Macaca fascicularis: one gene and its partner. The protein of the gene in region 1 purifies or fractionates together with the protein of each later gene. This does not show direct contact. Links are inferred from orthologs where the notes say so. Each region holds a gene or a part of one and is shown on either strand. Other genes may lie near its edges.

Evidence for each region.
Region 2: the proteins of PABIR1 (region 1) and PPP2R1A purify together in Homo sapiens (affinity purification with mass spectrometry; 4 studies listed by BioGRID and IntAct, counting the BioPlex papers as one, with this or other methods). This does not show direct contact. The link is inferred for Macaca fascicularis from reciprocal best matches to the Homo sapiens genes PABIR1 and PPP2R1A.

What each region holds. Positions count from the first base shown.
Region 1 is NC_088389.1:99,502,545-99,507,924, reverse strand, and holds PABIR1 (PPP2R1A-PPP2R2A-interacting phosphatase regulator 1), read right to left. Parts: upstream 3,685-5,380; 5' UTR 3,585-3,684; coding exon 2,721-3,584; 3' UTR 1,138-2,720; downstream 1-1,137. UniProt on the Homo sapiens protein: Acts as an inhibitor of serine/threonine-protein phosphatase 2A (PP2A) activity. Inhibits PP2A activity by blocking the substrate binding site on PPP2R2A and the active site of PPP2CA.
Region 2 is NC_088393.1:59,956,492-59,961,845, forward strand, and holds the start of PPP2R1A (serine/threonine-protein phosphatase 2A 65 kDa regulatory subunit A alpha isoform), read left to right. Parts: upstream 1-1,726; 5' UTR 1,727-1,776; coding exon 1,777-1,854; intron 1,855-5,354. UniProt on the Homo sapiens protein: The PR65 subunit of protein phosphatase 2A serves as a scaffolding molecule to coordinate the assembly of the catalytic subunit and a variable regulatory B subunit.

The DNA.
Region 1 (5,380 bases):
GAAATGCTGGTAGCCGGGACCAGAGTGGCAATAGAGGTAGAAATAAGGAGATAGATTCCAGCTGATAAAATCAGTAAGACTTGAGGAATGATTAGACATGGGAGAAAGAAAAGAAGAGAGGTATCAAGGACATGTTGGTTTCCTGCATTTATATACATATATACATGGAAATGCCAGTAACACATCTTGTACAATATATACCAAGTTGTTAACAGAAGTTACCTGTTGAAAGGGAAGATGACTTTTACATAGTTAAAAGCAGACTTTTAAAACCACATACATATGTACACTGTTTAAATATTTTATAATCAGCAGGTATACATTGCCTTCTACTTAAACTCACGTGCAATTTGCCTCCCTGAAAAGGATAGGAATGGCATTTTAGGGAGAAGGAACAATCTATCCCAAAGCACAGATACATGAAAGTATGACATATTTAAAGAATATCAAGTGGTCTAATGTTTGTAGAATAAGAAAGACAGACATATACGGGAACAGAGATGAGGAGAGGATTGAAGCTATTGCAGAATATGGCCAGATCATAAAGAACCTTCTATCTGAGGCTAAAGAAATCATTCCTTAAAGAGTAGGAAATGGGGAAGCAAATGAAGTTTTCAAGCAAGAGGGTGAAAAATATCAAGTTTAAATTTTAGAAAGATTTCTCAAGAGGCAGTATAAAGACTGAACCAAAAGGAGACAGAAAACAGCCTGGGAGATCACTCAGGCAAAAACTTAAGGCAAAATCAGGGGCAACAGATAGAGAAGGGAAGAAATTTGAGATTCATTTCAGAAGTTGACAGGACTTGGTGATTAAGCTAATCCAACAGAGAAAAGGAAAAGTCAAAGATGCTTCCATGATTTCTAGTTTAGGAAATTAGTGATGACATCAATTGAGATAATGCAAGAATAGGTGAAGTGAGAAGATTAACAATTTCTGTGTTGAAGATAATGAAGTTTAAATACCTCTGGAGGCAGGGCAAGTTACCCAACAAGAAGTCAGACTATTTAAGTTTGAATTTGAAGAACAAGGTTGAGAATGGGAGCACATGAACACTATTACTCAGAAGAGAGAATTTTAAACCTGTGGACACAGTCTTACCCTCAATGCAATTTCACTCCATCTTGAGGCAACCATCAAGAGTTGACCAGTTCCATTTATTTTCATAGTCGTAAAAATTCCACAAAATTGTTAGTCTCTGTAAGTGATAACTTTAAAAAGTCAGAGCTTTTGTCTTGTTCTGAGTCATTTTTCCCCTTTCCTCTTTGTATGCCATTCTTTCTGTCAAACTATCTAGTTAAGGAAGCTATATGAGGTATAAGGAAGAATATTAAGAAAATTTTGTTATTCTTATTGTCTTAATTGTAAAGGCAAAGAAAAGAACATTCGACTATTCTACCTTTAGCAAAACCTAAGTTAAATAATGATTTACCTATGTGACTCTCCACTAATTTTCTCTTGCAAATCATCACCCCTTAATTAATGGACATCCCCAAGGCAGTCAACTCAAGCTGTAGCTTTAACCACAGAGGTTAAACAATTCAGTCCTGTTGTTGCTGTCAGAAATCCAAGTTACACTGTACCTTTGTCTAATCAATGGTGCCCTACTTTGGTGGGAGATGAAGGAAGGGACCTGTTGGCAAGGAAACAGCTGCTTCCTTCCTGAACAAGGGAAAACCAGTAAGGTGACAGATGGGCAGAGCAGAAAAGTAGCCAAAAATTGCTCTGGCTCCTGGTTGGCAATAATTTTTGGAACTGAGGCACAACTGAATATTTTAAAGTATATCAACAATTGAGAGAGAGTATTGTTTACCTGGGCGCGCCAAAGTTCAACAAGCCTTCCCACACATTTTCTACATTTGAAAAACTTTTACGTTTGCAGTAGTACAAAGAGCTTAGCCTTAGCCTATGTACAGTGGGCAAAGACTGCAAGGCACTGTCCCATTTCACTTTAGGATTGCACCCAAGCAAATGCACTTTCTGGTTAAAAAAAAAAAAAAAAAAGGAAAATTTTTATTTTCTCTATAATATAGTTGTATGACTGACTAGAATTACTATTAAAATCTCATTAAAAATGTTTTCCTTAAAAGTTTACTTTTATATACTTAATTTGAAAGGATTTGTTGCAAACTTTTATAATTTGTTCTCTAATCATTCCCCCTCCCACCCACTTCGGTACCCAGAAAACTAAATATCCAAGAATTCCTGGGTAAAACAGACAACCACTAGATTGATATAACTAACGTATTTTTTTTTTAAGCTGTATAGTTCTTCATCAAATGGAAATCGGCAAACCACTGAAAATAACATTAAAAATTAGTGTGGGCATGAAGTATGGAATTTTAAACATCAGTTTACTATGCTGATTAAGTCAACATTTATATTTTCATCAGAACTTAATAATCCCATAAATAAATAGAGCTCTCAATTATTTAAAAAAATCAAGGGATAACATATGTATTTAGACATAGTAGCAGCGTAAAGATGTATGCTTCAACACACTTATTGGGGAAACGTCTGAAAATATTACTACACTGAATTCAAAGGTATCCGCAGGAACCTGACATAGAAGTTCTCTAGAATAACATCATTTCAGGAAATTTCAAAAAAGAAAAGGGGTCGAATAGGAAATAGCCTCAAATTAATTGACAAAGTTCAGTGTTTGCCCCAACTTGATTATTCTCTCTCTCCACTGCAAAAAGAAAGTCTCAGGATGAGTGAATCACTTAGACGAAAGTTCATCTAGTGGAATAAATGGAGAAGCCGCTTGGGCAGGTGACACAGGAGAGTCGGTGGTAGTGCTGACTTTCGCTGGTGAGTTACAAGAAGATCCGGCACTGCTGCTGTTTCCATCAAGGGTATCCGAAGATACACACACACCAGGATCTGACAGCTGTGCAACGTCAGAAGAAAGCATGTTGGTGATGCCCTGGAAAAATCTCTTTGGCTGATAATCAGTTTCCATTTCACATTTTCTTTTCAATGGTCCAAGAACACTTGGTCTAATGCAATTGATGGGGCTCTGGCTTCTCCGGGTGGTAAATCGGGTCGTTGGGCTGGGAATAGGGCTTGGAGGCAATCCGTTGCTACTTACAAAACTTTGCAAGGATGGCGAAAAACACTGCTTCCCAATTCCCCGAGTGGGTGACGGTGCCGGTGACACAGGAATGAAATCGATGCGCTTGGGGGAGGCGGATTTCTCCACGTCGTTGTCACTCAGGCTGAAACTTTCCTCCCAGGAGTGGCTTATCTGCATTGCGGTCTGCACCTCCCGTTCGTGGACCGTCTCTCGGTTGATCAAGTCCATACCCTCTTCTTGTTTGATCTGGTGCAAGCGGCTGCTGTGCATGCGGACAGGGGAGGCCGGTAGCAGCAGGCCGTGGCGGCTCGGGAACGTTGTGCTGTTCCGCCTGGCGCTCGGCGCCTCGGCCTGGAACACCGGCGAAGTGTCACTGAGGCCGTGGATCAGGGGGGCGCTGTTAGACCTCCTGAGGCCCCCGCCGCCGCCGCTGCCGCCGCCCTCCGCCGGGCTCCCGCCCGTACCCGGAGGCAGCTCCAGGTCTAGCTCCATCTTCTCCTGAGCCATGTCGGGGGCAGGGAGGCGGGGGAGGTGCTCAGTCAGGGACCTAGGATTCCCATTCCCCGCAGTCCAGGGCCGCCGCCGCTGCCGCCGCCACCGAGAATCTGTCAGCGGGCTGGCCCCTCTGCGCATGCGTACCCCTTCGCGCAGGCGCTCGCGATGTCCGTCCTCGAGGCGCCTGCTTTATGCGTAATATCTGCGCGGCAGTGGTAGGGGAGGGGCGAGGAGTGGTCGGGCCGCTAGTCCGTATATTCCTTCAGCAAATAGCTATTGAGCGCAAACTGGCATTGACGAACGTCAATAAGATTGTCATATTCTGGAGTACATATTTATAAAACGAACAAAGCCCTGAAAGAGAGGCCCATGGTGATGTGGGGCTGTATGACGGGGAGTGGCGCTTGCGAATCAGGGAGGGCTTCCTCGAGGAAGGAACAGTGTCCTGAAATCCGAAGAAGTGGGCGAAATGGGTGCGATGTAAAACTTCGCAGGAAGCGGGAAGCAAGGGCGACCCAGCCAGGTGGCAGGCGGGAACCAGGAGGGGAGGAGAAAGTGTGGCCTGGAGTGGAGAGTGAGGGCTGGCGTGACGTGAGGTGGTGGACCAGACCACATTCTGGTCTTTATCTTGAGAACAATGAAAACTTAAAGGGTTTTCAAGCATGGGTATAATAGCAACTGAAAAGCTCACTGGCCTGCAGTCTGGAGAACAAATACTGGGAGATTAAAACCTTACAGAAAAAAGGCCAGAGAGGATGGTAATTTGCACTAAGGTGACTGTGGAAGTGGAGATGGAGAGAAAAGTAAATGAGAACTGTTTAGGTTAGGGGAAAAAGCCAAAACCGGGGATGGTACTGATACTGATTTACAGTCATAGTTCCAGCACAAGCATATGTGTGAAGTATGAAGGATTAAAGGAAAACCAGTAGGTCCTCACATTTTAAAAATAAAAACACTATTCTTGGCTCATGTAATTAATATGAAACCTTGATAGCTCATTAAAAGTGAATTTATTTGTTCATTTATTCAGTCAAGGTTTTTTTTTTTTTTTCCAGCATACTTACTATGTGCCAAACACTGCTAGGAAATGGGCCCTAGTCTGAGAACTTTTAATTCTTACTGAGGGGAAAATACAGAAATAAACGCAGGCTATTTTCAGATAGTGGTAAAGCCTTAGGAAAAACAAGATGGTGTGATGGAGCACTACTGATAGAAGGCAGCGGACAATTAGAGCTGAGATCTAAATGACAAGCAGCAGCAAGTCACGTGGACATCTGGGGAATGAGTATTCCAAGCAGAGAGAATAGCAAGTGCTAAGGCCCGAGGCAGCCATGAGTTTGTTGAGTAAGCGGAAAAAGAAAGAAGGGCAGTGCTGCTGAAGCATAAGAGCGGCGAGTGTTAGCAGAGGGTAAGAGTTGGATCTCATTCTGAGTATGATGAAAAGCCACTGGAGGGTTTTAAGCAGGGGAATGATATTATCTGGTTTATGTTTTAAATATCACTTAGGCTCTGTGGAAAACAGGCTGAAAGAGGACCACAGTGGAGGCAGAAGGATGAATTCAGGGCCTATGGCAACAATACAGATAAGATTCTTGGACTAGGGTTGTAGCAGTGTCAATGGGGAGAAGTAGAGAGACTGAGGCTATGTGTTGAGTTAGAACCAATAGGATTTGCAGATGGATTAAATTTAGATTGTGAAAGAAATAGATTATTCAAAGGGGACTCATAGCTTGTTTTATTTAAACTGGTGAGATGGTAGTATTATTTACTGAGAGAGGAAAAGAGCACATTTAGAGCTGTAGAAATTA
Region 2 (5,354 bases), on another chromosome or scaffold:
AGTGGGTAAGGGTATCTGAAATAGATGCTGGGCCAGGCACGGTTGCTCACACCTGTAATCCCAGCACTTTGGGAAGCCAAGGCAGGCAGATCACCCTGAGGTCCGGAGTTTGAGACCAGCCTGGCCCAAAGTAGTGAAATCCCGTCTCTACTAAAAATACCAAAATTAGCCGGGCGTTGTGGTGGGCGCCTGTAATCCCAGGTACTCGGGAGTTTGTGGCAGGAGAATTGCTTGAACACGGGAGGCAGAGGCAGCAGTGTGCCAAGATCCGGCCACTGCATTCTAGCCTGGGCGACAGAGCGAGCCTCCGTCTCAAAAAAAAAAAAAAAAAAAAAAAAGAAGAAGAAGAAGGAGAAAAGAAAAGAAAGAAAGAAAAAGAAAGAAGGAAAGAAAAAATAGATGCTGTGGGTATTCAGAGCTGCCAGAGTGCTAGCTCAGCCCAGCACTTCAAGTAGTAGAATAAAGGAAGAGAGCGCATCCCAGGCCTTACCATCCCCATCCAACTCCCTCAGAGTGGTCCTAAGATTGCGGTGGGGGTGGGGCTTTGTTGAAGAGGTTAAAAACAGAGATTAGTCAGATCCAATCCTGCTCCCACTCTATGGAGGAAACAGATTCGAATGCATAGTCACAGCCCAGGCTCTGGGATTGAGACACATAGATGGGATTGGAGAGACAGAGAGAGAGGTTCTGGTGGCTCTGGAAGCCTAGAGAACAAGAGCATTTACGCAGAGATCTGAGAAGTGAATAAGAAAGGCAGAACGTACAGCTTGGGCAAGGAGCCTTGCTGGCACGAAAACGCAAGATGTGCTCAGGCAGCTCTGATTTTCCAGGACATCAGACAAAAGGTAAAAAACGGAGGCGGGAGACGCGCCTAGACAAGGTATTGAATACCGGCCCGAGGAACTTGGGTTTCATCCAAAGAGCAAGGCAACTGAGCTCAACACAGTGACTCCGTCTCCACAAAAATTCTTTAAAAAACTGGCCGGGCCTAGCGGCGCGAGCCTATAATCCCAGCTATTTCTGCAGACTGAGGCCTGAGGATCGTTTGAGCCCGGGGAGGTCCAGGCGGCAGTGAGCCAAGATCGCGCCACTGCACTCCAGCATGGGGAACAGAGCGAGACCCTGTCTTTAAAAAGGCAAAAAAAAAAAAGAAAGAAAAAGAAAAAGAGAGACAGCAGGGCAAGCCGCTCCCTTCTCTGGGCCTTGGCATAAATCAAACACAAATAAAAGTCTCACTCCCTCCTCCGGCCGCGCAAAGGCGCGGGGAGCCAGCCTGCCAGCCAGCGGAACCATGGCCTGGTAACCCAAAACCTGCACACCCTCCCGCTCCCCACATGACGTCACGTATTACCACTTACGCACGCGCAGAAACCATCCCCGGGACCCACCAAAGGTCAGGCTTAGCGTCCTCCCCATATCGCCCCTCATTGGCTAGAAACAACTGCTCGTCCCGGTCGTTGTTAGCAGCGACGAAGGCGGGTTCAATCTTGGTCGCTAGGACACGGCTGACTTCCGCTTTTCTTCCCCCTCCCCTAGGCTCAAACTAGTCAAATCTCGTTCACTCGACCAATGGCAAATGGGAAGTGGGCGGGACTTCACTAGTCCGGACCAAAGAAACGCGGGTTTAGGCCGGCGTAGCGCGGCCAATGGCCGTGGAGCAGCCCCTGTAAACTGGTTCGGGCGCCCCCACGCGTGCTTTTCCTCCTCCTCCCAGCTCTGCCCCCCCGTTTCAGCAGAGCGCTGGCCGCAGTCTGACAGGAACGGGACAGAGCCAAGATGGCGGCGGCCGACGGCGACGACTCGCTGTACCCCATCGCGGTGCTCATAGACGAACTCCGCAACGAGGACGTTCAGGTACGGAGGCTACGGGGGACTTGGGGAAGACGGGGAGGGGTACCTGGGGGCATGGGCAGCCCTCGCGGAGAAGACTCAGCGTTCGCTGGGAGTGGCGGAAGGGGCGGCGGCCAATCAACGTGCGTCTCTTATCTCCCCGGGTGCCCGGACTCATTGAGACGGCGCCCTCGATTGGGTGTTGGCCCAGTGAAGGGCGGGGGCCTGCGCTAGCCTCGAGGGTCCCGGGCCTGCTCAGTGCGCGCGGCGGTCCGCGGTCCGCGATCCGCGGTCCTGGGAGGTTGCGGCCAGGGCTGGGGTCGGCGGACTGGGTCCGGGAGAGAGGAGGGCTCCGTGATTGGCGGCGGCCTCTGAATGGCCCCTTGGAGATGTGGGGCGCTCGTGACTTGCTCCGAGTGGGGGAGAGCCGCCTGATGGGTCAGGACCTGGGAAGGTTTTTTTCTTTTCTGGGTTTCGACTGCTGGCCCAAGTGGGGACCGAGAGGCGAAGGCCTGCCATCCCAATTCCTGCTCTTTCTCCACGTCTCATTTTGGTTTAGGTGTCCTGAGAGGACGGGGACGCAAAAACACCCCCCCCCCCCCACCAAAGGTGGGGACTAGCCAAATTGAAGAACGAATTACGTTGTAGAAACCCGCTTCCCCATCTCCCCAGATCCTCCCATTGATCAGGATAGGGGGTGAAGGATTTGCTAAGTGGATGAACATTTCATTCTTTCTTTCTTTGAGACAGCCCCTGTGTCGCCCAGGCTGGGGTGCAGTGGCGCGATCTTGGCTCAGTGCAACCTCTGCGTCCCGGGTTCAAACGATCCTCGCACCTCAGCCCCCTAAGTAGCTCAGATTACCGGCGCGAGCCACCACGCCCATCTAATTTTTGTGTTTTTAGTAGAGACGGGTTTCGCCACGTTGGCCAGGCTTGGTCTGGAACTCCTGACCTCAAGCGATCCACCCGCCTCGGCCTCCCAAAGTGTTGGAATTACAGGCGTGAGCCACGGCGCCCAGCCCGGATGAACATTCCTGGTTATGGGATGCGGTGGCCCAAGGCTCTGAGCAGGGCTGCCACCCGCTGTGTGACCTTGTGCAAATTACTTCACCGCTTTGGGCCTCCGTGTTCCATAAAATATGGGCTAATTGTAGTCCTGGTCTTGCTGGAGGGACTTGTGAGGGACTGAACGAATTATGGCACAAATAAAAAGTCGAATGGTGTCAGACCTGTTGTAAGGGCCTGATACATATTAACTGTGATTATTGGGAGTGGTGATTAAAGAGGTCCCATCCTCCCTTTAGGTCTCAGTTTTCGCATTTATAAAATTGAACAAGGTGCACTGGGTAACCTGCCAAACGTGGGTCCCGCCTCCTAGGTTCCTGGTATATCACTGTTTCTGGGGGCAGACCGGCTGTGGTTGTATTCCTGGCCCTTCCACTTCTCACTGATTGACATGCGCAAGTTAGTTAATCTCTCTAAGCCTATTTCCTCTTCTCTTTTATGGGGATAATTACCTAGTTCGTAGGGCGGTTGTATGAATTCTTTTGTTCAGTAAACACGTGCCATGTATCAGGTATGATGCTGGGGATATAGTGGAGACACCAGTTGCTATACAGGATTCAGGTGTGAAACAGGTCAACAGAGTGTGTGAAAAGTGATGGGAAGGAAACAAACAGGATGTTGTGGCAGTGAATCCATATTGAATTGGCCTTCTATTCTGTGCAGGTCACTGTTATAAGCACTGGCATGCAGTAGGGGAGTTTACTTTGCAGTGAGGAGAGATAATAAACAGAGTATACTGGAGATAAGCAGTAGGGAGATAAATAAAAATAAGAGAGATGGGGGATGCAGGGGTTTTTTTTGTTTGTTTTTGAGACGGAGTTTCACTCCTGTTGCCCAGACTGGAGTGCAGTGGCGTGATCTTGTCTCACTGCAACCTCTGCCTCCCGGGTTCAAACGATTCTCCTGCCTCGGCCTCCCAAGTAGCTGGGATTACAGGCATGTGCCACCACTCCCAACTAATTTTGTATTTTTAGTAGAGATGGGGTTTCTCCGTGTTGGTCAGGCTGGTCTCAAATTCCCGACCTCAGGTAATCCACCCACCTTGACCTCCCAAAGTGCTGGGATTACAGGCATGTAATCCCACTGTGCCCGGCCTGGGGGATGCAGTTTTAAAGTGTGGTGAGGGGAGGCCTTGTTGAGATCAAGTTTGAGAACACACCTAAAGGCAGAGGGCACAGCAAGTACAAAGTGGGGTGGGGCAGATCCATTTTAAGTAGGCCAATCAGGCAAGGCCCCTCTGAGGATGCAGAATTTAAGAAGAGATGGAAAGAAGGTGGGAAAGAGCTGCCCAGGAAGAGGGAACAGATATGGCCATAGTTTTTTGTTGTTGTTGTTTTGTTTTGTTTTTTGAGATGGAGTCTCACTCTGTTGCCCAGGCTGGAGTGCACTGACGTGATCTCGGCTCACTGCAACCTCTGTCTCCCGGGTTCAAGCAATTCTCCCACCTCAGTCTCCTGAGTAGCTGGGACTACAGGCGCAGGCCACCACCCCTGGCTAATTTTTGGGTGTGTGTTTTTAGAAGAGACTGGGTTTCCCCGTGTTGGCCAGGCTGGTCTCAGACTCCTGATCTCAGGTGATCCTCCTGCCTCAGCCTCCCACAGTGCTGGAATTACAGGTGTGAGCCACTGTGCCCAGCCAGTTTGTTTTTTTTAACTCCAGGATCACTTCCTTCAGCTGTCTATCATTCCATCCTTCCATCCATCCATCCATCCACTAACCAGCAAACATTTGTAGGGAGTTGTTTTTGTGCCAGGATCAGAGCTAGGCAGCTTACCGGTTTATTCTAAAGGATATTACAAAGGATACAGATGAAGACACACATAGGGTGAGGTTTGGGGGAAGATGTGTGGTGCTTCTATGTCCTCCCTGGGCATTCCACCTTCTAGGAGCCACTAGGTGTTCATCTGTCTGGAAGCTCCTATGGACTACTTTTGTGCTACAGCCCAGAGTTGCGTAGTTGTAACAGAGATGGTCTGGCCCTCAAAGCTTAAAATATTTGCTTTCTAGCCCGTTGCAGGGAAAAAATTGCCAACCTCTGACTTAAACCATCTGAATAACAAATTACTGGGTGCTTGCTCAATGCTAGGTACAGTGCAGAGGAATAACACTGACAATCTTATTGAATTCTCATAATCACTCTTTGAAGTAGGTCCTGTCCTTGTCCACACTTTCCAGATGAGGAAACTGAAGCACCATAAATAACGTGGCCAAAGCTGTGTAGCTGAGAAGTGGAGGAGTCAGGAAAGGAAGTAGGACCTAAGGGTGGAATAGAGTCTGGGGTGGGACACACGGTTGCTGATTATATTCATATGCCAGATATTTTAGTTGTGTCTGAGATAGTTCAGGATACTAGAAGGAACACAGGATATGAAATCCTATAGTCTTGATTTATTTATTCGGCAAATATTTATCAACACCTCCTATGTGCCAGACTCTATTTTAGATACTAGACGTACAGT